Linked DNA regions of Danio rerio. The main gene of each other region encodes a partner of the protein of the gene in region 3 in a complex. Links are inferred from orthologs where the notes say so. Each region holds a gene or a part of one and is shown on either strand. Other genes may lie near its edges.

Evidence for each region.
Region 1: zgc:171971 (region 3) and polr3k share a complex: the UniProt entries of both Homo sapiens proteins name them as parts of the RNA polymerase III complex. The link is inferred for Danio rerio from reciprocal best matches to the Homo sapiens genes POLR3D and POLR3K.
Region 2: zgc:171971 (region 3) and crcp share a complex: the UniProt entries of both Homo sapiens proteins name them as parts of the RNA polymerase III complex. The link is inferred for Danio rerio from reciprocal best matches to the Homo sapiens genes POLR3D and CRCP.
Region 4: zgc:171971 (region 3) and polr3c share a complex: the UniProt entries of both Homo sapiens proteins name them as parts of the RNA polymerase III complex. The link is inferred for Danio rerio from reciprocal best matches to the Homo sapiens genes POLR3D and POLR3C.

The regions. Positions count from the first base shown.
Region 1 is NC_133178.1:45,544,221-45,552,664, reverse strand, and holds polr3k (DNA-directed RNA polymerase III subunit RPC10), read right to left. Parts: upstream 4,374-8,444; 5' UTR 4,249-4,373; coding exon 4,138-4,248; intron 2,377-4,137; coding exon 2,289-2,376; intron 679-2,288; coding exon 551-678; 3' UTR 338-550; downstream 1-337. Other genes in the region: snrnp25 (U11/U12 small nuclear ribonucleoprotein 25 kDa protein), read left to right, coding at 4,793-4,984, 5,761-5,851, 6,001-6,106, 6,721-6,795, 6,873-6,930. UniProt on the Homo sapiens protein: Core component of RNA polymerase III (Pol III) which synthesizes small non-coding RNAs using the four ribonucleoside triphosphates as substrates. Can mediate Pol I proofreading of the nascent RNA transcript.
Region 2 is NC_133196.1:33,902,649-33,909,442, forward strand, and holds part of crcp (DNA-directed RNA polymerase III subunit RPC9), read right to left. Parts: intron 6,337-6,794; 5' UTR 6,324-6,336; coding exon of another isoform or gene 6,305-6,323; coding exon 6,287-6,304; intron 6,197-6,286; coding exon 6,098-6,196; intron 3,365-6,097; coding exon 3,270-3,364; intron 2,954-3,269; coding exon 2,896-2,953; intron 1-2,895. UniProt on the Homo sapiens protein: DNA-dependent RNA polymerase catalyzes the transcription of DNA into RNA using the four ribonucleoside triphosphates as substrates.
Region 3 is NC_133187.1:7,833,451-7,841,753, forward strand, and holds the start of zgc:171971 (uncharacterized protein), read right to left. Parts: upstream 5,025-8,303; 5' UTR 4,971-5,024; coding exon of another isoform or gene 4,966-4,970; 5' UTR 4,942-4,965; intron 4,659-4,941; coding exon of another isoform or gene 4,658-4,658; coding exon 4,484-4,657; intron 2,317-4,483; coding exon 2,270-2,316; intron 368-2,269; coding exon 188-367; intron 1-187. Other genes in the region: zgc:110716 (uncharacterized protein LOC550248), read left to right, coding at 6,682-6,874. UniProt on the Homo sapiens protein: DNA-dependent RNA polymerase catalyzes the transcription of DNA into RNA using the four ribonucleoside triphosphates as substrates.
Region 4 is NC_133191.1:14,589,811-14,598,268, reverse strand, and holds the start of polr3c (DNA-directed RNA polymerase III subunit RPC3), read right to left. Parts: upstream 5,385-8,458; 5' UTR 5,292-5,384; intron 3,859-5,291; coding exon 3,712-3,858; intron 1-3,711. Other genes in the region: rnf115a (E3 ubiquitin-protein ligase RNF115), read left to right, coding at 5,969-6,166, 7,194-7,252. UniProt on the Homo sapiens protein: DNA-dependent RNA polymerase catalyzes the transcription of DNA into RNA using the four ribonucleoside triphosphates as substrates.

The DNA.
Region 1 (8,444 bases), on a different chromosome or scaffold from region 3:
TACATCCACTGTAACCACATGCCGTCTGTCTGACTACTGAACGATAATCTCCAGTAAATATGTATGCATGTTCATGAGGTTTACTTGCACAACCCAGGCTGGCTCCCTTTAATCAAATACGCTCTCGACTTGTAAGTCTACTTGCTTTGTGAAGTGACTTGACGCTGTTTTCCGACAGAGTAGATGTCAAGCTTGTCTTATGGGAATGCAGCTGTAGATAAATGCCTTGAGAATAGTCTGTGGCTCTACAGCAGATGCTGTGCTCAACCCAAGTCTCAAATGTGTATGTTTAACAAAACGTATGGACTCATTTGAACAAATAAAAACACAAACTGGATCAAATATGAGCATCTGTTTTATTACTTTCACACATAAACACCAAAAAAGGCAAGTGAATGATCTGGTTATTGCACACAACCTAATTTTACAAAGCTTCTAGATGAGGGAAATAACGTTTAAAGAGCATCTGAGGGTTTTAATTTACACAAATGATGATGGGGTTCCAACAATTCAATACATTATTCTAATATTTCCCAAACAAAGTCTAGATTTAGTCTCTCCATCGATGGCCACACTGTATATTGCAGCATTTGTAGAAGGTTGTCATTGGTTCATCGGCAGACCTGGTTTGAATCTGCATGAAATAAGCCCTTGGGTGCTCACATTTTGGACAGGGTTCTTCAAGAAACGAAGAAAAAAATAGAGAAGAATGTTAAGCATCAAATTAAACCAGGAAAACTGTCTTTTATTACATGTAGATACATTTTTATTATGGTGGCTTGAGAAAGACAACATACTGTTATACTTTTCCTTCTTCTTCTGAGACTAATTTCTTTATGTATCTCCTCCTAATCCGTTCAAGCTACAAACACCAAATTAACTCCAAACTGGTCTGACTTGAGTTGCTATATCTTTTCCAACTAATGCGATTCACGGTTTTCCAAAAACTGACCCAGAGAATTCGGAAAAGTCCCATTGACTTAACATTGGACCAAACTTTGTAATCTTATATCTTTGCGCCAGAGTGTCATACAGATTTAAGGTTGGGCTCATTTAACCCAGACTACCAATTTTGCCAATCACTGATGACCTTTCAACTTACTAGCAGCACTCTAGCAACCACTTACAGCACCCTAGCAAGTAGCAACTGTCCCATAGACTTCCATTATAAAAAAAAAAAAAAAAAAAAAAAAAACACTGCCATTGACTTTACATTGAATATAATCCACACTAGAAACATACTGCCAACATACAAATCTATACTATTAACATACCAAGCCACACTAGAAACATACTAACAACACACAAATCTATACTAAAAACATACCAAGCCACACTAGAAACATACTAACAACACACAAATCTATACTAAAAACATACCAAGCCACACTAGAAACATAGTAAAGACACACCAATCCATACTAATAACATACTAAAAATATACTAATCCACACTAGAAACATACTAACAATATACCAATCCATGGAAGAAACATAACAAACATACTCCAAATATACCAATCCATACTAAAAACATACTAACAATATACCAATTAATACAAGAAACATAAACCACACTAGAAACACACTAAAGGACACACCAATCCATACTAGATACATACTAACAAACATACTAAAAATATATTAATCCACATTTGAAACATAGTAATAATATACCAATCCATGGAAGAAAAACATAACATACTCCAAATATACCAATCCATACTAGAAACATAATAAACCACATTAAAAAACAAACCAAGGCCACACCAATTCATACCATAAAACATAATAAAAATATACTAATCCATACTAGAAACATACAAACAATATACCAATCTATACTAGAAACATACTAACGGACACACCAATCCATACTAAAACATACTAAAAATATACTAACCCACACTAAAACATACTAACAATATACCAATCTATACTAGAGACATAAACCACACTAGAAACATACTAAGGACACACAAATCCATACTAGAAACATACTAACAAACATACTAATAATATACCAATCCAGACTAGAAACATACTATAATAATCTAATCCACACTAGAAACATACTAACCATATACCAATCTATACTAAAACATACCAATCCATACTAGATACATGCTGACCTATATGTAGTTATCAATCTATGCCGACTGTTTCAAAATTCTTAAAAACTATTTCAATTAATTAAACTTTAAAACTACTTCAAACTTTCAGACTAGTCTCAGTCAATCCACCATAAGTTTGTGAGCAAACTTTACTTTTCAAGTTTCATTTGTTTACCTGCAGTGGAATCCACATTTTCCCAAGCAGCAGATCCTCCAAGAACATCATCAACCTCCTTCAGTTTGGGGTACTTTCTGTTGTTTACCTGTTAAAGCACATAAACAGGTTTGTTTTCCTATTTTTTTATCAGGTCAATGATACTGTCTATGCCTGACCATAAACCTAACCCTCATAGAAACAAGCTTCAATTGTTAGATACTAATAAAAACAAGGATGGTTCAAGGTGATTTATAAGTGTTTTTAATTTTACTGCAAGTTGCTGAGACTTATTTTAGTATGTTGAAGGACCTCAAACTGAAACTGCATATTGAGTAGGGGGCGGGGCTTTCTTTTTGCACATCATTCCCTCATCAACTAAAGGTAAGAGGGGCGTGGTTAGGAATATTGTGGATGCATCTGCCAAACTGACATCATCAGAGAAGGACTGCCACTCCAAACGCCAGAGCAAATGGTCAGACTTTGAAGATTATCAGAACAAAGATTTTTTTTTTCGGTGAATTAGCTTGCATGGATTTATCATTTACCTAAAGAATAGCATTGTGTGCTTGTAAAATAAACACTGTAAATTTGGATTTCACACAGACTTTAAAGAATATATATGCGGAATGTTGAAAAAAACTATCAATGACATAAATAGCAAAAATACTATGACAAGTGGCTCTTCTTTAATATGTCACTGTATAAATACAGTTGTTACCAGTGTCTAAAACAGCGTCATTTTGAATTCTAATCAGAGTTTGAAATTGACTTTTTCACTTAACAGCCAATTACATTTACAGACCAACTAAGCATTGAAAACTTGTATGTGTTTTGGCCATTTGTTTGCACAACAGCATTTTGGGGGATGCAAAAATGAGTTTTTAAGAGCTATCTTTTAAAAACAATGTCAGTAGTTTATAGAGGTGATTTATTTATCCAGGTTTTGTGTTATGATTCTGAAGTTAGTATTGTCATGTGCTATAATTGCATCTGTGTCTTTAAGACGGGAAACAGGTGGCATGATGGGAAGTTTTGTAATGTTACGGAGTTCATAGACACAAGAGAAGTAAAGAGTGGTGGTAAAATGTTAACCTGCGTGTGGCACTGTGGCTGATTTAATTCAGAAGTATGTGCAATTTATGAATGAACATTTGATGATAAGACACACATACATAAGTATCTATGAAGTGACATCAAATATAAACTTTTAAGTATCCAGATGTTTATCCACCTGAAGCTATAACAATATTTCTAAAAAATTTCTAAAATATTTTTAATTCCTACGTTTTCAAGATAATATAAACGAAGTTCTTGGTTTATTAAGTACATTGAGTAAGTTTATATCTTCTGTTAAACAAAAGAAGATATTTTGAAGAATGTTGCTGGGATCCATTGACTTCAATCAACTCTTATTTCCTACTATGGTAGAAAATGGGTGCCAGCATTATTCAAAATATCTTTTAATGAGAATTTATTCTAAAACTGTAAATTTTATACATAAATATAATAACGTGATGAAATAAAGAGCATTTTAAAGTACAATACAATCTTATAATCATTTAACCATTTCATTTAAGTAACTACTCAGTAACCCAGCGTTATTTATCATGCTCTGAAAGCAATGTTTGATAGAACATAAACACTCCCTCACTCAAATCTATTTTTGTTATATAATTTGTAATGTTAGAAACATTGATCTCATCAGATGTTCCTCACACGTTCTCATATTATCGAATCAAGTCATTTCTTTCGTTTCATTCGAATCGAACTTTTAAATGTCGGCGTTCCGTCGAACTTTAATGCGTTCGAATCAAACGTTCCAAACGCTTATTAGATACAAATTTCCATAACCGGTGTTATGCATTACCTTCCTCGTGATGTTGTGCACATATGGACATGTGTTACACGCGAATCTAAAGCATCGCTGTCCTTCTTCCACGATTAACACATTCCCACATGTCGGACAAAACAGGAGCATTTTCAAACAGTCATAGATTATGTTACGTAGTAAATACAGTTATAGTTTCTTTCTGATGCAACTGAAGTTGGTATTTACACACAGTCCTTTCTAAGTCGCTACAGGAAGCACATGACAATCAATGTGCCTCTGTATTATTGGCTCGCCATAAAACGAAATATAGACAAGGATGAACACTGTTTCTGTTGTATATATTAAACTTAAATATATATGAAAATGTCAACGAATATATTAATGCTGATTAAAAAATATTTTAATAGAAGATTGTTATTGTAATAAAGAATGTGAATCATAAAAAACCTATGCGGAACTAAAGTCGGGTGCATCACTGAAATATTCCGACAGCGTGTTTATAAAAATGAAATGTAAAAAGAAATGCTGGAACGGCTCAAATTGTTAAAGTTACAATTTTTAATACAATAAGCTTCTGCAAAAGGCGTACAGTTTTTTTACGAAATTGTAGTTATGTTAACTATTAACGCTTAGTGACTTTTTTATAAGTCTTGGATTTCTATACCCTCAAAACAAGACGTTTGAAGATAAAATGGACGAAATAAAGGACGAAACCGAGCTCAAAAAAGAGTTAGAGGAGAAAACTGTGGAAGATGAAATAAAAGAGGAGCACGAAGAGGAAGAAGACGAGGAGGCTCTTCCACACTCAGAAATTCTGGACATCTTTGAAGAAGGGCTGGCTCTCATAGTGCAGGACCCGCTTCTGTGTGACCTGCCCATTCAGGTGTACATGCAGTCAAGGGGCTGTTTTAAACGGACAATTCACCCAGATATTAAAATGTTCGGTTAATTGACATCCCAAGATTCTGTTCTTAAGTAGAACAGAAAATACGTTTTTTTTTTAAGTTGAGAACTATGTTTTCCTATGTACGTTATCTATATAATGGTGGTCAAGAAGCGCCATCACTTTGAGTTTAATATATTTAAAATCTTCCTCAGAGCTGTTTGTCCAGGTTGTGAATAGCTGATAATGTAGTTGTAAATACTAGAGGGTAATAGTTCCAGCTTAAAATCTTCTATATTCTACAGATTTTTTTTCAACAGTTTCTTCTCCTCTGTGTCAGTATAATGCTCACATTTATGTGCCGCGTTTGGTTGCACCTCTGACTTGCTTATTACCTCAAATGTGTCTGTGAATTGTTTCAAACTAAGGAAGTCATAGTCAGTACATAAGTGCACACCACTCGTGAACACATGCAATACACTGAGGAGAAGAAACTGTTGAGTAAAGTAGTTATTTTTGTTTTATGTGCACACAGATGTATTCTCGTAGCTTGATAATATTCTGATTGAGCCACTGTAGGCATATGATCTGTTTTGATGATGATTAATTTGTATTGTTCAGGACTTTGAACAAATTGGAAACCATTGCTGTCTAGGGAGAATGAGGGAACTCTCAGATTTCATGAACCAACCATTTAATTTACCAGTCCTAAATAAACTGTTTATTTGAATGCATTAATTATTAATCCTATATTTCTGAACCTTTGAATTTTTCAGGTCACACTGGAGGAGGTAAACTCTCAGGTGGCTCTGGAATATGGCCAGGCTATGACTGTTCGGGTTTGTAAGGCGGATGGAGAAGTCATGCGTAAGTTTTCTTATTTAATATGTCTTTGCCAGATTCCCAGTGACCCATGAGATCTTGATCTGGGAAACAGCATATGTTTCTTGACATGTTTTTTTTTTAAATGGTTGTTATTTATTAATTGATTCTGACTGGAGCCCATCTCTCCACAGCTATTGTGGTTGTGCAGTCTGCAACTGTTCTGGATCTCAAGAAAGCCATTCGCAGATATATGGAGCTGAAGCAACAGCGAGAAGGAGGTGTCAAGCACGTCAGCTGGTGAGACGTGAGAAAAATATGAAGAGTTCAGATGCAAAATCTCCAAGTGCCATCTAGAATTTTCTTTTACAATGAGCATTTTTCTCAGTCTCTTCTCTTTATGTTCAGTGATTTCATGTTATAATCGATGGAAATAAGCTATTCTTTGCCATAAATTTAAAATTACTTAATCAAGACATAGGAGCCTGAGAAAAATGCTAATATTAGAAGGAAATTTCAGATGGCACTTAGAGGTTTTTGCATCTGAACTCTTCATGGCAGTGAAAATAAGTAAATTAGAGAAAACCTCATGCGGGCTTGAATATTACAGAAGTAATGTAATCTGCCTCACTCAGATTTTTAAGGAATTTAAGTCATGACTATATCATGCTAGTACGTATACTTAATTTTTTTTTTAAACATTTTTAAAAAAATATGGGCTCATTTAATACGCCTAAAAATTTTTTTTGCTCCTGTTAGTATAACTTCAGACCTTTGTTGTTGTACTTTTGTTGTATTTATTTAATCATATTTGTATTTATTTATATTTGTATTTATTTAGATTCGTTTTGTTTGTTAAATGTTGTATTTTTTGTTTGTTTTATTTCGATTTTTTGTCTGTCTTTTTTCTTCAGGAAATATGTGTGGAGGACATTTCATCTAGTTTTCAATGGGGAAAAATTAGAGGATGACAGAAGAAAACTGAAGGAGTGAGTCCAAATCTTGCATTGCGGAAGTATTTTTCTTTTTTTGTGGTTAAGCATGATTGTGTTTCTTCTGTCCTCAGCTACGGGGTCAGGAACAGAGATGAAGTGACATTTTCAAAGAAACTGAGGAAGAAATGAACAGCTGCCACGTTTTTGGGCTAAAGTTGTAAATAGCAGAGAAATGTCAACGACAATTTCCAAAACAGAGAAAATGTTGCATAGTTTTTTTGTTTGTTTTGGCCCAAAATGTTTTATAAAAGGTCAGTTCACCCCAAACAGACACTTTAGTCATCGTGTCATTCTAAAACCATTAGTTCTTTTAATCATCTTTGGAGGACAAACCAAGTTTTTAATGAAATCTGATAAATTTCTGTCCCTTAAATGAAATATGTGTGTGCTTTTTTGTTTGTTTGTTTGTTTGTTTGTTTGTTTGTTTTTATTTGAATTGTTTAATACAAGTCTTCTGAAGAGACAATCTCTTTAAACAATGACAAAGTAATTTTTTTTTTAATAAACAACAGTTTTATGAGTTTGGAAGGATGCGAGAATAAGTAAATGATAATTGATTTTTGGGTGGCACAGTGGCTTGGTGGTTTGCATTGTCACCTCACAGCAAGAAGGTTGCTGGTTTGAGTCTTGGCTGGGCCAGTTGGAATTTCTGTGTGGAGTTTGCATGTTCTTCCTTTGTTCGCGTGGGTTTCTTTTGGGTGCTCCGGTTTCCCCCAGAGTACAAAGACATGCGCTTTTTTCCGGGCTGCTTGTTATTGGAAAAAAATAAATATTGGGATATAAAAATAATTTTATTAGATTACTTTATTTGGAAATAATTTCTAATTTTATATTGATTGGAATAAGCAGCGTAAAACATACAAAATTATGCTATATATATATATATATATATATATATATATATATATATATATATATATATATATATATATATATATATATATATATATATATATATGTATATATATATATATATATGTATAACAGTTGAAGTCAGAATTATCAGCCCCTCTGAATTATTAGGCCGCTTGTTTATTTTTTCCCCAATTTCTGTTTAACGGAGAGAAGATTTTCTGAACACATTTCTAAACATAATAGTTTTAATAACTCGTTTCTAATAACTGATTTATTTTATCTTTGTCATGATGAGAGTACATAATATTTTACCAGATATTTTTCATGACACTTCTAGACAGCTTAAAGTTAACTAGGTTAACTAGGCAGGATATGGTAATTAGGCAAATTATTGTATAACAGTGGTTTGTTCTGTAGACAGCTTATATAGCTTAAAGGGCTAATAATTTTGTCCTTATTTTTATTCCTGTAATATCTATGCTTTATTATATATAATAATAATAATAATTAATTTCATTAAATAATTAGGCAATTCATGTTCATTAAAGTAACAAACTCTAGAAATACATCCAAATTAAATTCTTTCACATTATTAGATTTGACTTTACAAATCACATGCTCTAAACTGTTTTGGTCAATTATAATCCCAGTTTGACATTCCAGATGTGCGATGTGACTATTGCAGATTCACACATTGCAATATCGATGATGAAATGATATATTGGAGCTCTAACATGCACCATAAGTGAATGAAATAAAATTGGCCTGAAATTGACCTCTGAATAGAG
Region 2 (6,794 bases), on a different chromosome or scaffold from region 3:
CATAGAGATGTCATACAAATAACATCCAGTTTTTGTTGGCTGTTCAGAAATCCATCTTTGTCCCTTCAGACTCTCACACTCCATAAGACTCAGTAAGTGTTTTTTTTTTTATTTGTTTATTCATCAATACTATTAATATATATATATATATATATATATTTTTATAAATGTACCACAGGCTTTGAGCAGTAATTAATAAATCCTGTTTTTCTTCAAATTTACATCTTCAGTTTCTTAGTTGGTTAATATAATTGTCAGACTAGTTTGTAGAGACTATTTTTACTATGCCATTTGCATGACCATTTTTTGTCCTGTACTTTTCTAAAGAAAAAGTATCTTTTGCTCATCAACACTGCTTTCATCAAATCAAAAATACCATAACTGTGTTCTGTTCTGAAATTTGATTTGTGTAACAGATCAGATGAAACAGATTTGTGTAAGTTGACCATCAGTTAAGACAACGTTAGCACCTGTTAGCTTTAACTGAGGGGAAAACTGGATAATTTGAAGCTTTTGTCAGCTAATTTTATCTTCTGGGTTTAAAATCATTTTTGGGGCGGGATCAAAATCAGCGACGTAGCGTGAATCTGCTAGTGGAGTGATGACACGTCGGTTTCTTATTTTTATTCGTAGCTGAGTTTTCTTATCCTATGGGAAAATATAAAACTATAAATCATGCGCCTCCTCATGGTGTGCATCTCATTTTGTGAGCCAACTGACAGCTGTTCGCTCGCCTCTTTCTTCCCTTCTATGCCGGCCACACCATCCCTCCCTCTGCTCGCAGCGCTCCACGCCCATCACAAAGCATTTTATGAAAAAATTCGGTGGTAGACATGAACCGAAAGAGGGGGGTTTCATGGCCCTTTAACACATCTTGATAATCACTTGTGCTGTTGATTTGTTTGTTAAAATATAATAGATATAAAATGCATGCAAACATTTGAAATAGAAACATTCAGTTCAATTATAAACATCAGTCATGGTCACTTTCCTATTAAATGGATTAAAAAGCCTTAATTCACACTATTTTAAAGGGTTCTGATGTAGTTTTGAAGGTTTTCCACAGTAGGTTTCAGGGCTGCATCATGATATCAGAAAAATATTTATATATAAGATATTGCAATGTTTTATTTTTCTATGATACATATTGTGATTTGAGTACAGTTTCACAAGATGATATTTAAGTACAAAAAAATGAATAATCTTTTTTTTTTTTCTTCCTTTGCTTTGTTTCGTTTCTAGTCCAAATATCTAAAAAATCTTAGATCAAGTGAAAAATGTATTTGTTTTCACCTTTAGAAAAATTAGGTGAAAATTATTAGTTTTTCCTCAAAACAAGTGAAATTATCTGAAAATGGGGAAGGTAAAATAATCATGTTTTCGGAAAACTTAGGAAAAACTTCTCTTTTTTTTTGCATAAATTGTATAAATATTAAATAAAATAAATCTTTGTTACACCTCAAAACTTCATAATTCGTTGTGCACAAACTCTCTTAATTCATTTTCTTTTTCGGCTTAGTCGCCACAGCGGAATGAACTGCCAACTTATCCAGCATATGTTTTACACAGCAAATGCCCTTCCATCTGCTACCCATCTCTGGGAAACAACCATACACAATCATTCACACCCATACACTACGGACAATTTAGCCAACCCAATTCACCTGTACCGCATCTCTTTGGACTGTGGGGGAAACTGGAGCACAAAGAGGAAACTCACGCGAACACGGGGAGAACATGCAAACAAAATAGACATCTAAGAATAGTTCAAAACTAGACTAGTCGTCAAATAGACAGACTATATATGTGTAGTCATTCATTTCTGTCTATTTGACGACTAGTTTAGTTTTGAGCTATTTTTAGACTTCTATAAGATTTTCACTGACAGCCCAAATTTAGCCTTGTTTTAGCCAAGACGACAATGTTTAGACATCTATTAGACATCTTTTAGAATGAAAAAATGCTTGCTGGGAAGGGCTTGAGCTGGCTTATTGAAAATTCCCTGTGCAATTCAGCGCCAATTGCTTAGTGGTTAAGTATACCAACATATGGCACAATAGTGCTCACAGCGACCTGAGTTCGACTCCTAGCTAGGGGTCCTATGCTGATCCTTCCCTCTGTCTGAACCCAATCGTTTCCTGTCTGTCCTTTACTATCCTATCTCAATAAAAGGTAAAAACCAACCAAAATAATTATTTAAAAAAGTCCCTGTGCATTGCTGATGCTTACTTTGGCATTTCTGAATTATTTCTTTAAGGTGACCATAGTTAACCATAGACTTAGTTTAATGTGTTTAAAAAATTGCAGATCTATTACATTCACAAACAGCTACTTTAAACAATATGTTAAAGGTAATTTTTGAAGAAGAAAAAAACATTTATGGGACACTATCATTTCTCAACTCTTTAATTGCCTGCTCGACAAAATGGCCACATATTATTGACTGTTTAAGTAAAGAATGTTTTTTTTTTTTTTTACAAAAAAAAAATATCAAACAAACAATCCTGTTGCACTACTTCACTTCATTTAGGTTTTATTGTAAAAAAAACAAAAAAAACATGTTAAATGAGAATCTGAAATATTTCATGGCATACCTTAAAAATGAAGATGATTTAGTTTTCAAAAATGTACACTTCATAGTTTTAGCTTTTTCATAGTATATGCATTAATTGCAGTACTTTTACCATAAACCGACACGTCATGGCATGTGTTGAAAAAAAAATTCGCATTGAGTATGTTAACTAGCGACATTAGGAGTTAGGTAATGCAATACACATTTTTGTTTCTTGGTGGGGCAGTTAAAGGGTTTAACATTTTGAACATACTTAGCATTGTCAAAAATGGGCAAAGATGTTAAAGACAAAGTGTATGAAAAAAAGATGTGAAGACTCATACCAGCTGGATCTCAACAGCAGTCTGAGGTCTGTGGTTTAAGAGCTGCAGCTTCTCTGCTCTTTGAACAGAAATAGAAAAGAAGTTAACAGGCTGCTTTTTTCACAAGCTAAAATAAAAAATCTGATAAACTAACACTAGACTCATTGTCAAGTGCAAAACCAGCAACTCACACGTGTACTGGTTTCAGAAACATCACAACACAAACCTTCACAATGGTGCATCTCAAACCCAGAATTACAAAGTCACTGCAATGCACTGTATTTACTGTGGCTTTCACACAGTTTGAGGCTTTAAGGTTTTTCCTTTCAAAGAGGTGATTCAGTGCACAAGTTTTAAATGCATGCTTACAAAATAAGAGAAAAAATAAAAAGTACTTAGTAAGTTTGTGAGGCAGCATGGCGGTGAGGAACTCCTTCACTGTCTCTGGTTTCTGATGAACACATGGCGTCTTAGAGAGGTACTTCAGGGTCTGTTGAGGCAGAGATTTCAGACGTTAAAGGGCATGACTGAGCAACACAATCTCAAATCTTTGCCTTGTTTTGGAGATAAGGCTGTGCAATATGACAATTTGTACAGGGGTTGGACAATGAAACTAAAACATTGGCCAATTTAGTGTTGGAGGTTTCATGGCAGGTGATTATGCATTCCACCAGTAAGAGCAGAGTGTGAAGGTGTAATTAGGAGAGTAAAAGCACGGTTTTGCTTAAAAAGTTTTAAATGCACACAACATTATGGGTGACATTTTGGAGTTCAAAAGAGGACAAATTGGTGTGCGTCTCGCTGGCGTATCTCTGACCAAGACAGCAAGTTGTGATGTATCAAGAGCCACGGTCTCCTGAGTAATGTTAGCATACCACCAAAAAGGATGAATCACATCCAACAGTAGTAACTGTGGATGCAAGAGCTGTCTGAAAGGGATGTCAGGGTGCTAACCTGGATTGTATCCAAAAATACATAGAACCACAGCTGCCCAACTCGCTGCAGAATTAAACGTGCACCTCAACTATCCTCTTTCTACAAAACTGTTTGTCGGGAGCTCCACAGGGTCAATATACATGACCGAGCTGATATAGCCCAACCTTTGGTCACTCACGCAAATGCCAAACATCGGTTTCAATGGTGCCAGCAGCAAAAATCTTGGTTTGTGGACAATGTGAAAGATGTATTGTTCCTTGATGAGTCCACATTCCCTGTCTATTCCACATGGAAAGAGTTACGGTGTGGAGAAGCCCCAAATAAGCGTACCACCAAGAGTGAAGCGTGAGGGTGGATCAGTGACGGTTTGGGCTGCAATATCATGGCATTCTCTAGGCCCAATACTTATGCTAAGTGGGAATGTCGCTGCCTAGGACTACCAAAATATTCTGGAGGACCATGTGCACTCCTGAAGCCAGTGTCGTGTATCAGGATGATTATGCAACAAGACTCACAGCAAGACTGGTGACAGAGTGGTTTGATGAACATGAAAGTAACGTTGAACATCTCTCATGGCCTGCACATTCACCAGATCTAAATATTATTGAGCCACTCTGGAGTGTTTTGGGGGAGCAAGGTAGAAAACATTTTCCCCACCAGCATTACAAAGTAACCTGGCCACTATTCTGCAAGAAGAATGGCTTAAATCCCTTTGGCCACTGTGCAGGACTTGTATCTGTCATTTCCAAGACCAATTGATGCTGTATTGGCTGGGCTGCAAAAGGAGGCCCTAGACCAGGGATGTCAAACTCAATTCCTGGTGGGCCGCAGCCCTGTACAGTTTAGTTCCAACCCTAATTAAACACACCTGATCAAACTAATTAAGTCCTTCAGGCTTGTTTAAAACCTACAGGTAAGTGTGTTGGAGCAGGGTTGGAACTAAACTGTGCAGGGCTGCGGCCCTCCAGGAATTGAGTTTGACATCCCTGCCCTACACCATACTAATGAATTATAAATTAATCTAAAACCAGGAGTTTCAATTTCATTGTCCAACCCCTGTGTGTGTGTGTACACATATACACACACACACACACACACACACACACACACATATACACACATATACACACATATACACACACATATATATATATATATATAGTTTATTTTGTGGAGTTAACAGTAATACTTGTATATGCGTGTTGACCAGATCATCCCTGCATCATAAGAAAGTTGCAATCTTGAAAGTACAATGTTTACATTATTTAGCAATGTTGGACCTGTAATCATTGGTTTTTGAAAAGTGTTTTATATACTTTATTAATATGTGCTTTATATTTATACCTTCTCAATCAAATATTTGCCCTGAAATTCTAAATAAAGGGAGGAATATGATCACATACGAGTATATCTCTGAGTATGTACTTTAAATTGTAAAAAAAAATAAATCTAGATAAAGTCTTTTACATGTGGTCAATACAAACTATTAATGAATTGAATTTTAGAAATGTTACTATATAGTAAGATATATATCGTTATCAATATATGAGATGACATATCATTATACATGATTTGTCATATCACCTAGTCCAATTTGGAGGTGTTTGTTTATTTATTAATTTATTATTTATTGCCACATCAGCAACTTATGGCTATTTCGTGGCAAAATGGATATTCATAAAATATTACATGAAAAAACGAATTCGTATTACAATAAAAAAAGTTACTTACACGAATATAAAAAATATAAATACAAAAAAATTCACACAAAAAAAATATTCAAAGTCAAATATGATTTTTCAGTTAATTTTTTAATTAATAATTTAAAACTCTTCCTGATGGTACCTTTTTAAAAGTGTCCACTGAAGTACCCTCTTTAAAATAATTTTGTCTAATGGAATTTAAACTTCTACATTCCAACAAAACATGTTTTATGGTAAGAGCAGCCTGGCAGTAATTACATTTACGTAGTGCTTCTTTTTTCAGTAAATATAAATGTGTCAACTTAAAATCCAATCCTCCAATTCCACATCTGGTGTAGGCCATCTGATCATGCCTAGTCTGAAAATTATAATTTGCTAAACGTCTTTCATTTATTTTCGGGTTAATTTCATGCAATTTATTATTTATGCAGTTGTCCCATTCTCTTTGCCATGTTTCGTTTATGAACAAATGGACTGTGGGTTTCAAGTCCTCAGGAGGAATTAAACATTCTGTCACATTCAAGGAGATAGCCTGTTTTGCTGCATCTGGAGATGTTTGTTAGATCACATCAAAAAACAAGCACCTCATACATGATGGTGTTGAGATTCTGCTGCCCGGTGCTGTGCTTATTTTTAACCATCTCCTTTCTTTTTTCTTTCAGGTCTGTCAGCAGCTGATAGACCTGGTGGAGTAGAGAACACTTCTATAGCCACAAACAATAAAAAGTACACTTTTTGTTTTTTTATTCGAAAGTTTTAAAATTCATACTGACCTCATAATTGCTCAGCATAGCAGCATTGGCATCCCTCCTACAAAAGAATACTATTAATATTATTATTAGTTTACTTTAAATCATGTACAGTAACCGGAAATTAATAAATGAGTACAATGTGCAGAAGGTACAGTAAAAAATATTTCAACATTTACCGTTTTTAATATAAAAGATTAACAACGTTTATTTTTGTTCAGTTTCTAAAATTACTAATGTATTGTCATCTCTTAAAAATTTGATTCTTAAATTTTGATTTAACACTGTTAGATCACTGTTTAGAGTTTGTATTTACAAGCAAAACTAGTCAGAGACACACTAAATCCATTGGCTATAAATTTAAAACTTTAAAGACTATGTGAAGGGCTTGTGGATAAGATTTTTAAGACGTATTCTGTGAATCATGTTTACACCTAAAAAACACAGTAGGAATTACAACATAACGTTATGCAGTTTGTCGTTATAACGAGGATGTCCACGTGAGCAGCATTCCATTGTCATTGTTATCCTG
Region 3 (8,303 bases):
TAAACTGCAGTATAAATATATACAAATGTTTAAATTAATTAAAACTCATGACACAATACTCATATTTAACATAGTACATATATCTTTAGACTTCTACTGTGCAAGCTAAGTGTAATGAAATATTCATTTGATGTTGTATAATGGAAAACAAAAACCAAAGGGAAAAAAAATCAGACATATGGAACACTTTATCACATCACCATTACATGCTTTACCTAGTTTCCTATAGGTGTCAGCAGGGCCCTGCTCAAAGATAGAGTGAGACTGAATGGTCTGAGGCTTTTCTCGTCGCTGTCGTCTCTCTCTGTGTCTGTCTTCCCTGTCTCTTCTCTCTTTTTTTGGTGCACTGTGAGGCTCCTCCTGTAACCTCCACAAAACAGTTTCAATTCAGAGTGATTTACACCACAAACAAATGAGTAATACCTGCTATTAAAATGCATTTAGGTGGTCCTGCTAAAATTAAAAACAAGTGTTAACTGACAATAATATGGAATATATGGGAGGATGTTAAGTATTGCGATAATGATATTTCTTGCAAAATAACATTTCCCTAGAGACATGGTTTTATTTATTTTCCATCTTTTAAGATTATTTATTTTTTTGTAATGATCTTACTAAAATAAACTGGCAATAAGATATTTTTCTGATCTGACTGGATCTAATTCAGGCAAACAATAAAAATAATAAATAATATAAATAATAATAATAATAATAATAATAATATATCAGTGAATTTATCTAGATTTCTATGTATATTCAGTGCTCAACATAAACAAGTACACCCCTCTCAAATCTCTCATTTAAATTATTATTTGCTATAGGAAGTTTTAAAATATTATATTTGTGCATATACATTAAATTAGTCAGTAATGAAGCTTAATATGGAGCTAATCTAACCAAATAACTTATGATAACGGTCCAAAAATAGTACACCCAAATTTATATGTTAGAGAAAAAATGTATTTAAAAAATAAATAAAAAGAGCAAAAAAAGAAAAAGAAAAAAAATAATAGATTATTATTTTTTTATTTTGTCGTTTGTAATTTCCTTTCCAATATTTAGCATTATTTTTAATGTATTATCTTTCTATTTCTAATGCTGTTCGGCAACTAAAATATTATTTTAATAAATATATCTGTTTAATAAATCTGTTTTGTTTAAATGCATCAAAACACATGACCTATATTCACTGAGAAATTGATAAAAATATTCATTTTCAAAACGAAGTGTATATATTTATGTTGAGCACTGTATATAACATACATTTCCCTTTATTAGGTACACCTTTCCAACTGCTCGGAAGCGCAAATTTCTGATCAGCCAATCGCATGGCAGCAACTCAATGCATTTAGGCATGTAGACATGGTGCCACTCCTGTCAGCTAAAAAATTTGGACAAAAGATGATTGGAAAATGTTGTCTGGTCCGATGAGTCTCAATTTCAGCTGCAACATTCGGATGGTCGGGTCAGTATTTGGCATCAACAACATGAAAGCCTCTTGTTACAAGCGTCCTACCTAGTAACAAAGGTTCAGGCTGGTGATGCTGGTGTAATGGTGTGGGGGATATTTTCTTGGCACACTATGAGCTCATTAGTATCAATTGAGCATTGTGTCAACGCCACAGCCTACTTGAGTATTGTTGCTGACCATGTCCATCCCTTTATGACCACAGTGTACCCATCTTCTGATGGCTACTTTCAGCAGAATAACTTGCCTTGTCATTAAGTGCAAATCATCTCAGGCTGGTTTCTTGAACATGACAATGAGTTCACTGTACTCGAATGACCTCCACAGTCACCAGATCTCAATCCAATAGAGCACCTTTGGGATGTGGGGGAACGGGAGATTCACATCATGGATGTGCAGCCAACAAATATGCACCAACTGCATGATGCCATCATGTCAATATGGACCAAAATCTCTGAGGAATATTTCCAGAATCTATGCCACGAAGGATTAAGGCAGTTCTGAAGGCAAAAGGGAGTCCAATCCAGTCCTAGTAAGGTGTACCTAATAAAGTGGCCAGTGAGTGTATATATATATCCATCCGTGTGTGTATAGCATTATTAATGTATTTAAATATTTATAGTTATGCAATTTAGCCATATTTACAAGGCATATTCTAACTCCCAACCCCAGAACACAGTTTGCTGCTTTGACAAAATCTCCATTATAAAAAGCCCTATCAAAATGAAGAAGAATTATATTGAGCACGAGTACTACAAATACCAAACAAAGCAATAGAATGAGATCTTTAAAAATACTTACTCATCTTTACTTTTGCGAACGGAGTGAACATTTGGAACAAAGGTTTTCTGCAAGGGAAATAAAAACACAGCGAGTCAATTAATAATTGCTTGGTTCATTATTAAAGTAACACTCATATTTATTACACATGACCAGATAGTAATTAGACTAAAATTCTAATAAACTGACAAGTATAAACATAGTATGAGGCATTGACATGATGACCTAATTTGATGTCTGCATTAAAAACAATTTACAAAAAATTTAATTTAATTTAATATTAAAAAGAATATTCAATGTAATGAAGTGTCTATAATTTGATGTCTCAGACTTTAGAGAAAGTAAAATGTCAAGAATATGGGTAAAATAATATTATTCTAGTGTAATTTAAAGTAACAGGTGCATTCATGTAAATTTAACCTGCATTTATTAGATAGATAGATAGATAGATAGATCATGTTATCATGTTATGTGATCATGTTAAATTGTATTATACAAATATATCCTAATGGTTATGGTTTTAAAAAAATGCGCTGCACATTTACATTTTCTTCATAATTTTCTCCAAAGCAGGTTTGAAACCATGTTTTTATTGTAAAAAAGCACAATGCAAGTAACATAAGTTAAAGGAATAGTTCACTGAATATTTTAAATGTAATAATGAACTCACCCACAAACCATTATACATTTCTTTCTTCAATTAAACAAAATTTGATATTTTGAATATGTTGAAAACCTGTAACCATTGACCACCATAGTAGGAAAAACAAATACTAAGAAAATCACTGGTTACAATGTGGTAAAGTTAGTTTTATTTTCGCACATTCTGACTTTCTCCTTAATAATATAATTTCAAACAAGTATTATTGTTTTATTAATGTTGTATCACAATTATACAACATTGTCCACAGCCAAATAAATAGTGCTAATGTTGTTTTGAAGTTACATGTGATTTCAGTCCTAATATTCCTGATAAAGTACTATGGTAAACAATACTAAGGTAAAGTTGATTTTGTATTCGCACGATTGTTCAGTTTTTAACAGCGACAACTTGTGACACGCTCCCTGTATTGTTCAACAAGCTACTTTGACTATTCAGTCTGAAATAGCATGTAAGGATGTCTTCAAAACAACATTGGCACTATTTAACTGACTTTAGTTGTTAATGTTTCCCTTTGACAGTTGTTGGCTGCTAATATTAATTCATTATTTAGAATTTGCAAACAATACTTTTCTCTAGTTATATTATTAAGGAGAAAGCATGAATGTGTGAATATAAAACTAACTTAACCAAGTTACCGTAAACGATATAGTGAGCATTAGGCATGGGACAATAACCGTTTTCGAGGTGTACTGCGGTTTGGAAAAATCAAGGTTTTAAAACTGCCGAAATCTTTTGCTATACCGTTTCCTAAGGTATGTATTTGTTTGTTTTTTTTATTTATATTTTAATTATTATTTATTTTATCTCGTTTTTTTTTTATTTTTTTTTGTTTTGTTTTTTTTTAGGACAAATCTCCGACAACAAAAACATATCTAAAGGTGCTACTTTAAATTGTAAAGAAATTTGAGTTTTTGAAACTAATGAAGACAGCAGAAGTCAAAGACTTGTTTTAATTATTTACTGTAGCCTGACATGTTTACTGTTGGAAAATATTTAAAATGTTTCTCAAAGTAAATTTTTTGTATTTAAAGTGGAAAAAAAGTTTGTTTTTTACCCAGAGATTTAAAAAGAATATATTTTAGAGAAGTAATCACAATACTGTGAAACCGTGATATTTTTTATCCAAGGTTATCATCCCGTCAGAATCTTGTATCGGCCCATGCCTAATGATCATATCACAAGTTCTGAATGAACGAGCGAATACAAAACCAAATTTAAAATCTCAATAATAGTTACAGGTTTCCAGCATTTTTCATAATTATTTATTTTGTGTTTAAGGTAAGGTAAGGTAAAACTTTATTGTCCCAGTTAGGGAAATTTGTCTTGTGATGACTGCAGCTGAGGGCAAGAGCCCAAACATGGACAAAACAATAAACATCCAAAACACAAACAAGTAATTCAATAAATTCAACACAAGACAGAAACGAATAACGTTAAAGGTTTGAAACAAGGAAAGAGTAAGTAAATGATGACAGAATTTTTATTTTTTTGCGTGAACTATCCCTTTAAACCAATCTTTTGTCTTTGTTAAAGATTAAAAACAGCATTAAAAAGGTATTAGAATGAGTAACCTTTTTAAATCCTCCCAGGGTCAGGTCTCTGGACCGCAGGGAGGTCAGTCTGCCTGGTGGAGGAGGATTGTGTGAAATTCTCCCTGGCAGTCCTTTAACGTTGCCCAGAGCAAAAGACGGTCTGAAAGTGGAAGATGAGCTCGCCTCCGCGTCCCCATCTCCATGATCACACATCCTGCCAAACACACAAACAACAAACCCTACTGAGCAGCGTGCAATATGTGATTACTCAGACTCAAACAAAGGTGAAAACCTTAATTTTCCAAGAGAAACGCTCGTTCAAAATACACTAAATGTGCGCTGACTTGGATTTCAAGACGCGCGCGCCTCCATTTTGTTAGCAACCTATGCTATCAAAACAAAGCCTTTCATAGCACTTTATGACATTTAGACGGACATATTTAAAAATGCTGCGCACGGCTGCATTAGAGATAAGTGAAAATAAATACTATACGTACTTGAAATTTGTGTAAACTGCTCACATCATATCTGCCGAACTCTTCCAGCTGACAGCTACATCCTTGCAGGAGCATCATTGGTCACGTGACACGAGCCCTCTGTTAGGAAAAGATTACTCAGACATTTTATATTATATTATATTATATTATATTATATTATATTATATTATATTATATTATATTATATATCATTTTTTAATATTTACATATTATTATTTTATATATCATCTATATTATATTTTATTTTATATTATTATATCATTTTATATTATATTTATCACAATAACAAATTTTTTAATAAAAATAAATAAAATATATTTAAAGTTTTTATTTGTCCATTTAGTCTTATGGTGTCATCATGATGGTTTTGTTAATAAACTCTCAATTAATAAAATATTAATAAACTTTTAACTTAAAAAAAATTATAAGTGCTGTATATTAAATAATAATGAACTAATTTTAAATATTTTGTTTTTAACGGTTATTTTATCTGAACAATAAATAAACATTTTGTTTCAAATCTATTTACATATATATTTATAGCTATTTTTATAAATATCATATTGTATTAGGCCTATATAATGATATACTATAATAACTCTGGACTGTATTTCATAAATACTCTTTAAAATTGTAAATGGTAAATTTTAATTTAATGCACAAACATTTTAAACATATTTATTTATAGTTTTAATTTAATGCACAAACATTTTAAACATATTTATTTAAAGTTTATTTCATTCCTTTTATATGGTCTCTTTTGTGTCATAAAATGGTTTATTATCGGACTGAATTTTAAAACTACTGTCTATGAAATTTCGTGTTTTGTGTAAAATATACTCAATATTTGTACAATACATTTATTTTGAATATTATGCATTAACAAGTATAAAATAAAACTAAAATGAAAAGGTGAAAAATAAAAACATATTTTATAAAAAACTGTTGTAAAAGTAACCACTTCAGTAAGTTTTGGGACACAGACCCCTTCCATCCACCCTTCTTCTAACTCATATTGAACAAAGGGCGGCACTCAACTTTTGGCTGCCCTCACTTTTTTATTCCTATTTATATTATATTATATTATATTATATTATATTATATTATATTATATTATATTATATTATATTATATTATATTATATATTTTGCTAGCAGAGAGCTTATCATTCCTGTTAGAAAAAGATATAATAATATAATATAATATCTAGTTTTTCACAATAATGAATAAATATTGTTCATTAAAATAATGTAAATACATTTAAAGTTTATATTTGTGCAATTTGCAACTAATGTTTCTGAAATAATTTATATAGTTTTGTTTTTTGTAAAATATATTCAATATTTGTAAAATATATTTCTATTTAATAATTTAAATAATACACAATTAATTATAAAATAATAAACAAATTTTTTAATTTAATTTATACACTGGTATTGCCCCAAAAAAACTCTCGAAATGTTACTTAAGAGTCAGACTTATCAACATCATATTTATGGCGTAACAGGAGCTGAACGGTGTCAAGTGGGCACTTTAATAAGTTTTGGGACACAGACCCCTTCCATCCACCCTTCTGGCTCATATTGAACAAAGGGCGGCGCTCAACTTTTGCCTGCCTCACTTTATACTCCTCCGGTCGGTCAGAGTAACTCACACAGAGCCCGCGATGACTGGCGCTCACTCTCCGCGGGAATGATCTGATTTGAGGCTGCGGAGAGTCAGCGGTGCTCTGTGAAAGTCATGGCCGCTCAGTGCGAACCATTAAGCGGATACTTACAGCAGTCTGACCCGGGCTCCAACAGCGAGCGCAGCACCGACTCCCCGCTGCCCGTGTCTGAGGATGACTCCAGCGGACCCACGGCGCCTCCGGACCCCGAGTGGACCGAGGAGAGGTTCCGAGTGGACCGAAAAAAACTGGAGATCATGTTATTAGGTAAAAACCGTTGTTTCCACGACTTCACTAGCCATTTTAGGAGTGTTTAAAAGTAAAGCTCAAAGATTAGTTCTTTAAAATGTACAATTGTGTTTAATAATCGTGCACAAAACAGTTTGAACAAACTAATATCCTATTATTAAAGCATCTTCAAAGCTGATGTTCAGCTTCTCCTTTGTTCGTCTCCTACTGATAATCATTTTTCCATACAACTTTTTAAAAAAAGTTTTAATTTCTCTTCTAGAAAAGTTTGAACAACTTTCATAACTTTTTTAAAGTATATAAAAGAGTTAGGGGGGAAATAAAGCAAGAAAACAAGTATTCAGACTCCCTCTGAGATCTGTTTGTTTTGAATAAAGTTTGCATATAATCTAGCTATATCTTAATTTCTCCCCCCCAAAAAAAGTGATCTTTATTTTTAGGTTTCAAGTTCCTGGATACATTTTCAAACACATAATTTAATATTGTAATGGTATAACAGTTAATTATATATTTCTAAGATATTCAAATACTGTGATATTATGTTTAAGTCAGTTCAGTTTCTCTTAAACATTGTAGTGATGGTTAAAATATATTTTAAGATATGTTTTTTTTTTATATAATTTATTTTTAAATTATTATGTATTGTGATATTATTTAAAGTCGGTTTAGTGAAAACCCCCTATTTTGTCCCATTCCTGATGTAGGTAAAAATCTCAACCAATAGGGGACAGTGTTAAAGCATCTCAGATTTTGACATTGGTCTTGATTGCTTGATTGTTGAGTTTCCTCAATTTGCTGAAGTAATTTTACAATGGCAATGTGTCCAGTTGCATTATAAAATCAGAGGATCTAATTGAAATGTAATTTCTGGCTTATTATTTTCATGATATGTAGCTTTGACAATATAAAAACTAAGTCTAGAACTGATTTAAAATAAAATCATATTGCCTTTAAATTAAGAAGCACTTTTCCAACTCATCTTTTACCATTTATTATAGCTATTATTATAAATTATTAAATTATTAAAATTATTATAAATATTTATTACAACTATTGCATTTATCAAGCATGTCTTTATAAAAACTGATATAGAGTTCCCATTACTGGCTCTTTAGGGATGGTAAAACACTTTGATGCTCTCTGCTGTAATGATTTATCCACGTCGGGTCATGCTTTCCGTGTTGTTTCATAGCTCTGAGTGAGTTCAGAAAGGGATCTCATCGTCTTACACACATAAGTTCAGTCACCACAGCAATCCTTCCTACTGAGGTCATTCAGCATCTCCTCACAGGATTTAACAGTGTATTTGATCGACCTCCTTGCTGCAGAAATGTGATTAGGAATGGCGGACATACCCAAAACAATCATATAACGATTCCTAGACCTAAATACTATTATTAATACTGTGTTTTGAAATGACCCCTATAGCATGTCAGCCCACATAGAA
Region 4 (8,458 bases), on a different chromosome or scaffold from region 3:
ATTTAAAAGCAGTCACAAGACTGACCAAAGTGGTGTACATAAAACAAAGTAAAAAAAAAAAAGACAGAATATAAAAGCATAGAAATAAGGCAAGAGAAATGACTGTAAAAAAAAAAAAAATATATATATATATATATATATATTTTTTTTTTTTAATTTGCGGTAGAACAAACTATGTAAATAATCTTAAAAAGCCAAGCTAAAAAGGTACGTTTTAAGAAGTGATTTAAAAATGGATAATAATGGATAATAATGGAGCCATTCTAATCTCAGGGGGCAAGGTGTTCCACAACCGAGGACCTGCCACAGAGAAAGCTCTGTCCCCTCTAAGTTTCAGCCCAGACTGTGGAACTAAAAGAAGATTCTGCTCTCTTGACCTAAGAGATCTCACAGGAGTGTAAAGATGAAGCAGCTCTGAGAGATAGGATGGGGCTAGATTATGAAGGGACCAATGGTGTAGTGAACTCAAGGGTTGTTGAGCAGCTGCAGACTGAACTGTGAGGGTGGAGTTGGTTTATCCCTGTTTAGGTTATTTCATTTTACTTCGTCATAAACAACAGGCACGTGCAGAAGGGGGGTTTGAGTGCTTGAGCACATGCCCTTTTTTTTCTCTCTGAGAGAAAGTTCAACCTTAAAAAAAAAAGTGCCCCCTCCTTTGTGCACGGATCTCCAATCCGCAACACCCCTGACACTCTTCAGCTTCGCGGTTAACCCGTGTCCCAATCGTTATCCAGAATGGTTACCAATACCAAGTACAAGTTTTGCCTTCAAAATGTTTCTAAAAATTAACAACCAACTTTCTATGATAAAGTAATTGCCCTGTGTATTCCTTCTACTATGCTGCTAAGGAGATGATGATGTCTGCAGCACAGAATGATGACGCATGCCACTCAAAGATTATGCAAAAGTCACATGAAATCCGACATAACTGTTCAAACTGCGGTCGCAATGCAAAACATCAGGGGCCTCATGTACGAAGACTTGCATGGAAATCATACTAAAACATTGCGTACGCACAAAAATTTCAGATGTATGAAACACTGCGTACGCCGAATCTCACGCATATTCTTTTGTACATCCGAATGAACGTGAAACTGAGCGCAACATGCACGAGCACAAAACCCTTCCCTGCCTCCTCCCCCGTATGAATATGCTAATGACTATACTTTGGCAAAACCCAACGAAAAAGCAATGGCTAGCAAGCCAAAAGAGAAACCTTTTACAGAATGTGAATTGGAGGTGCTGCTTTCGGAGGTAGACCGGAAAAAAGCGGTGTTATTTGCAAGTTTGTTCTCCGGAATTGACAACAAAAGAAAAAAATATAGTGGGAGAGTTTAGCTAATGCGGCTAACACAATTGGGTCTGAACATCGCACCGAGTGAAATAAAAAAGAAATAGTGTGATTTATAGGTGTAAAATGTTGCAGTACCTACAACAGTCTCAGTGGCGCAGTTCGTAAAACGCAGGTTAACATGTTTTGACACGTTCGAGCATGAACTCGGTTCGAATCCAGCGTCTGATGAACTCTTTCTTCTTTTTTCCCCCGCTACATATCAGATTATCACGAGAAAGACAAGTGGGAATCATTAATAAGTTTGTGAATCATATTTTATTTGCACATTTATTGAATGGAAATGTTTCTGATTCACGCATGCGAATTCATCTTCAGATAGTGTCTTTATAGCAATGTGTGTGCAGTAGATAGCTCAGATTACATTGGGAAAACAGGCGACCGCTGCAAATTGTGCTTTGATGTTTAGCTGGTCAACTGTATGGTATGGAAACCATATACCTGCTAGATGAACCTGTCTCATACAGCTGCCATTGCAAGGCTCAGACACTTTGTAGAGAGGAATTTAACACAACTGCCTCTAGGAGTCGCCAATGGAAATAAAACAGACACGCACAAAAAATGTGCGTACGCCAGCCATAATGCTAGCGTGGTGCTGCGCACATTCCCACGTTCAGTTCATCGTTAGTAAATCCAAACGTGAGCGATTCTGAGCGTGAAACCTGGCGTACGCAAAGTTTTTGTGCGTACGCAGCGTTGATACATGAGGCCCCAGATCTGTGTCTGATTTAAGACTACATATGAGAGTGGTACAAATCTAACCTGAAAAAAATCTGATTCCATGCAGTTTGGGCTGTTTACACTGTCATTACTCGAGTCACATGTGGGCAAATTAAATCTGAACTGGTCCACATTTGGCTGCAGTGTGAACGTGGCCTAGACTGCTTTAAAAGGTCATTTTTCCAATATTTAAATTTGTTTTTAAGATCCCATATTATGGATTTTTGAAAATGTCCTTCCATGTAGCGTGTAACACAGCTCTAAGTGAAGTGAAATATCCAGCTAAGGCTTAAAACTGTAAGTGTACAGTGTTTAAAACTGTTGATTCATCTATAAAAGAGTCGACTCACAGTGCTTCAAACGAGTCGTCTTGATAAAGAGGCATTAGGTGTATCGCCATGACGTAATAACGAAACCAAGTAGTTGCACGCACAAACTTGTGAGATTTGAAACCTGCGGCCCCGCCCTCTAACACAGCAAAAGCCACACACACACACACAAACATGGCAGTCGATTGAAGTCAGACTGCAGACGGAAATTATTGAGTCTCTACCCAAAGATGAAACCTCAGCATTAGCCCGGCATTGAGCAGTTGGAAACTACTGGAAACTACATGCTACAAAGAATACTTCATCGGTCGTTTGTTAAAGAAAGGATCAGTAAAGACTGCTGATGGACATGCCAGGACATGGATCGGTTTCTTCCTCCATTTCTTAAGTGTAAGTACGTGCGATTAAAGTTGTTGCCTCGTTTACTCTAGCTTGCAAATGTATTTAGTTATGATTTGTTACTTATAACCGCTTGTACTGTATCAGGTTAACTCGCTATATTCTCGTATCGTGTGCAAAGCCACGTTAAAAAATGTGACGCGTGCCGCTTTGTTTGCGGACCTCTGTGGAGGAGGGTAATGTGTGTGTGTGTGTGCGCGTTGTCGTCCGGAGGAGGATTATGTGTGTGTGTGTGTGTGTGTGTGTGTGTGTGTGTGTGTGTGTGTGTGTGTGTGTGTGTGTGTGTGTGTGTGTGAAAAGAGCAGAGTGTGACAAGCTAGGAGATCTCCTCGCCAATTCTTGGAGTTTTTGCTCAATAAAATAGTTAGTCGTTGGTATTTTCAAGTCCATCGCCTGTATTTACATTCACCCACTGGCAGCTAAAATCCACACCTTACAATATGAAGTGTGTATGCACTGTGACTACTTCTATATTGTTGATTAGCTGCTGGGCATTTCACTGTCTCTCGCTGAAGGTAGTCAGTGTCGACCAATCGCAACAGACTGTCATCGGTCCAATCAGCGCAGATTAGTTTCAAGCTAAGGAGGGGTTTGGGAACAAATGAATCACTGGACGATTCATATGGTAGTCGCTGGGATAATTATGTAAAAATAAATGCAAATTATAAGACCATGAAAGTGTTTTTTGACCTTGCATGCATATTAGACTGTTGTTGGAGACCCTTACAGCCCTATTTCATGTATAATATGGGCTCTTAAAAAATATAAACATTTCAGATTCCAATTTTTTTTTTTAATAGTTTTATTCTGTTTGGATTTTGGAAACAATGGATATCCTATCCTAACAAACCACACATCCAAGAGAATCTTATTTTTTAAGCTATCAAAGAAAGCTTTAAATAGTGACATTACCAGGTCAAGAGCCAGTTTGGTCTCATGGGCAAGAGCTCTCAAGGTCAGAACTCCATTGCGGATGAGATGAGTGCCCACATTTTCCACCACATCACCAAAGTGCTCCTGCAGCAACAGCCCACACAGACGCACCTCCTGTGCTGTCATCTGTAGGACAGAGAGCAACAATCAAATCACAATCTGTAGTCAATTTATCTATGAATAATGTATAATTCTTTTTAGACATGTCAACTTGCAAACTAGTGTTGGTTGGTTTTTTTGCTCTAATTGCACAATTAGTTTTTTTCCAGCCTATTCTTGTTTCAGACTTGCACACAAAACGCATTGCAATCAATTTCCAAAATGTCACTTGTGGGAAAATATTACAAAGCCTGGGATTTTAACAGAGACCAGAGATGCTGAGAATGGATAACAAGACAGAACAGCACACAATATGCTGAACCAGGCAAAGTAAGATTTTTGTAAGGATCTCAGATTTTTGTTCTTTATTAAAAACACTTTACAAATGTACAAACCTTGTCATTGTCCTCAGCCAAATTGAACGTTCAGGTTTAATAATTTTGTGATGCTAAAAACTGTTATTTAGAAAAAAGAAAAACTTCAGAAATAGCAAGTTTAAGTTGCTATCATACACGTAAACTGATTAAAAACATGAAATTATAAAGTCTACAAATAATTACTACAAATATATATTACAAATACTTTTACAATTGTCCCCATGTTTCTGTCAGTCCTGTCACATTTGCCTTAAATTTAACATAAAATGTGTGCTATACACCTTTAAGGCTATGACTTGGAAGTGGCATCATTTGATGGGGAAGCAGACATCAAGGATACATTCTATCATTAAACTGTTTTATTTTTTATTTTAATTATTTATTTATTTATTTATTTTTTTGAGGAAGACAAGCTTAAAGGTCAGGCCCTGTCATTTATTTTATAAATAAAAATGTATGTTTCTGGTAGAATGTCTCATATATTTGGAAATCATTAAATCTAATTTGTACAGAGCACCTTTGTATATGCCTCATATGTAGTTTTCTATAGGTCAGCAACTAAAAAGGCAAATCAAATATTGTTCATGCACTTGATGTTCTTGTTCAGTCACTTAATGTAATCATTTTTCAATGTGTGCATACAGTTGTCAACATTTAGTGAATCAACTTTGATGAATATGTTGACTAATATGTTATCAGTTATTAATGTTTACATACATGATTTCGTGTTATTTATGGTCTACCCACATTTCCTTATTAATAAAACTGCTCACAATTTTAATATTACAGTTTTCCTCCTTAATCTGTAACGTTTACCTGTAACCATCAAAAATACATGTAAAGTCTTGTAACTATACATGGAGTTACTAGAAACACAAGCTACACAAGCTATAACTAAAAGCATCAGTTTAAAAACAAAACATTTTGTCAACAAAGTGCAAAAGTAAACATTCATATTTGCGTTTTGACTGGCTACTAACACTGGATTAGCGCAGAATTAGTTGTTGTCTGGCCTTTCCACAAAGCAAACATCTCACAAAGGCTAAACAAAGCACAGATGCACATGCTTAAAGACAAACTTACCTCTAAAAAGTAAGTTATCTAGATATCCGTATGTGTTATTTAGATGAGTTCACACTTTTTGATCTCACGTGTGTTGTCCAGACGGTGTGCAACGACAAGCACTGACGAATTTCCGTGGTTTGATCACGTGGAGGCGGAGCTCTGGTGTGTGAAGCTTGAGTGAATCGCTATCATGAACGGAATCTTTTTGCGGATCAAAAGAACCGAATGAATAATGAAAAATGAATCACTGTTTACTCACACTCGGGTGTTTTTTATGAAATTACTTTTTTTTATTTGAATAAACAAAAGGGTATTTTGAAAAAAAAAATGTTAGGAAATATCAGTTTCAGGAAAAAATACTATTTAAGTAGTTTTTGTTTTGTTTGTCAGAAGTCAAACAGGTTTGTAGGTAGAAGAATATTTTTTTGGAGTGAACTACAATTATCAGAGTAAAGTTCAATTAGGTGAATTACATGCTAACATATAATATTAGACTGACATAATAGCATATATAATAATATGTAATGGTCTTTTTTTGTTTTAATTTTACATTGTTCTCGAATAAAGCCCTCTCTGATCCCTGTAATACTAGTAAAACGCACACTTCACACAGCCTTATGTAAATAATTTTGACTCAGTATGTTGTTTTGATCAGCTCAGTCAAACGACTCCCCTGAGTGAGTCGACTCGCCTCAATGACTCGCACTACTGAGTGCTCATTGCCAAAGCACCTCCCTCTGCAGTGGGCGGACCGACGCTCGGCCAGCGCTGCTGCTGCTGTTGCTGTTTGGGACACAGGCAGTCTCACAGAAAACATGGCGGAGGCTGCTGCGGTCCCTCCGCATCGCTTCTTCTGTCACTGTTGTAAGGGTGAAGTGAGTCCCAAACTACCGGTGAGTCCGTGTCGCTGGTAGCGCGCAGCCGGCTCAAGTTAATGTCTTTCTGTAGTTCTGCTGTCGCTCTCGCAGGTTCCGCTGTTGTGCTAAAGTTAGCATGTTAGCAGTGTATCAGCCTGATGTGGGCGAAAGGCCTGTCGTGGTTTGTTGTTTGTGTATAAACACTAAAAAACACATGTATTTACCGATGACCGGTTTTATTAGATGTTAGACAGGTGCTTGTTAACGTAACATAAGCGGAAACCAACAGGTTTTGTGTTTAGCACCAATGCTACACTCATTTCTTGTGTTTTTGTACTGTAAATGATGACTTTTTCACATTTCACGACATGTTCAGTTTTGATAAGTGTTCAGTTATTAATGTCAGCTTTTAGAAACTTTCAGAAATGTCCTTAAATCACATCGACACTGAACTCTTCTCAGAAGTGAAACCGGAGTGCTAATGTTTCTGTTTCTGTTTTACTTGTTTATAATGTCGCATTTGCCGTAAATTATATCACAAATTCTGCAATGAACGTCAACATTTAGCACTTGGTGGTCAGTGTGTCAGTAGGTCATTAGATTGTCCCGGTGAGGATGAGTAGTGTGTATTGTTAAACACATGTTTGCTACCCATTTTGTTTAGTAAGTTAAACCCCTTGACATGATTCAAAACTGGTTCATACTGTATAAGGTATGAATAAAGCAGAATAATAGTCCACATGCCGATATAAGCAGCAACTGTGCTTCTTTTGCTGGAGACCGACAGGATGGCCTGTCTTGACCTGTTTAATCCAAAAAAGAAGAAAAAAAAAAATAGGGAAGAAGCCTCTTGAATCAGCCAGCAATTGTTGTGACACACTTCATAGGGAGTGTCTGGACTCATACAAGACTATTTGTTTTAAAATTCAAATGAACAAACATGTGTAGTACTATGCAAATGCATGTCCTCATAATGCCGCAGCTATCTGTATGTTTATTTACACTGTCCGGCTTTTCTGTGTTATATTGTGATTGTGATTTTTTTTGTTTTGCTTGCTTGCAGGAGTATATCTGTCCCAGATGTGACTCTGGCTTCATCGAGGAGGTTACAGAAGACTCCAGGTGAGCTGCACTTCCTTATTCGATTGTTTCCATTGGCATGTTGTAACTCCTGCTCTTTCGGTGCTTTCTGGAGTATGTAAATAAACTGATTGGTAGCACCACCAAACGGCCTGATAAATAAAAGACGCGAGCATGGGTTGAAAGCAACTCCTTGATAATGTTATGTTGTGTTAAATAAATCCAGTCAATGTCATAGATCATTCGTAGTTTGTGCTGACAGTGGGGCTTTGATTTGATTATATCGCATTGCATTTCATTTAAGCTTAGTTTTTGTTTTGTCAGAGATGTTATTTAGATCTGTGGTTCACAGTGCTTGTGATGCTGTAGCACATAGGGGTAAAGTTGGCTTTATATTCGCACGTTCATTCATTTAGCATTCTCTATAGAGCAGGGATGTCAAACTCAATTCCTGGAGGGCCGCAGCCCTGCACAGTGTAGTTCCAACCCTAATTAAACACACCTGATCAAACTAATTGAGTCCTTCAGGCTTGTTTGAAACCTACAGGTAAGTAGGGTTGGAACTAAACTGTGCAGGACTGCGGCCCTTCAGGAATTTAGTTTGACATCCCTGCTATAGAGTTTACCATGTTACTTTGAATATTCAATTGGAATTAACATGCCACTATGACTTCTAAACAACATTAACACTATCTAATTGACTGTGAACAATGCTGTACTTTGATAGTCATTTGCTGCTAATATGATTTCCCTTATTAGAATTAGCATAGAAGACTTCTCTGAAATTAAATTATTAAGGAGAAAGTCTATAGCACTGCACATTGTGGAAGTCTCCTCTTTTTACCTCACTTTATCGATTATCATTAGGCCTTTAAAGTTGATAGTTCAGTTAAAATTATGTCATCGTTTACTCACTCTGCACTTGTTCCGAAATACTCTTCAGGATATCTAATTTTGTGTTCAGCCGAACAAATAAACTTATAAATGTTTAGAAACAGTAGAAGCAATTGAGGGCGTTTTCAAACGTTTAAATTTGATTTACCAAAGTCAGACAAGTACTATTTTCAGACCTGTAACACCAGAACAAAGAGATGTCACATCCATAATAAAGCTTTTTCCTCATAAGTGGGAAAAATGTCAAATAAAATGAAATCAATCATGCTTGTTTTATAGTGAGGCAGCTCTTATCCTTTTGATAAGCATTATTTCATTTGGGTTGTGTAGTTTAATTCACAGAATTTCTACAAA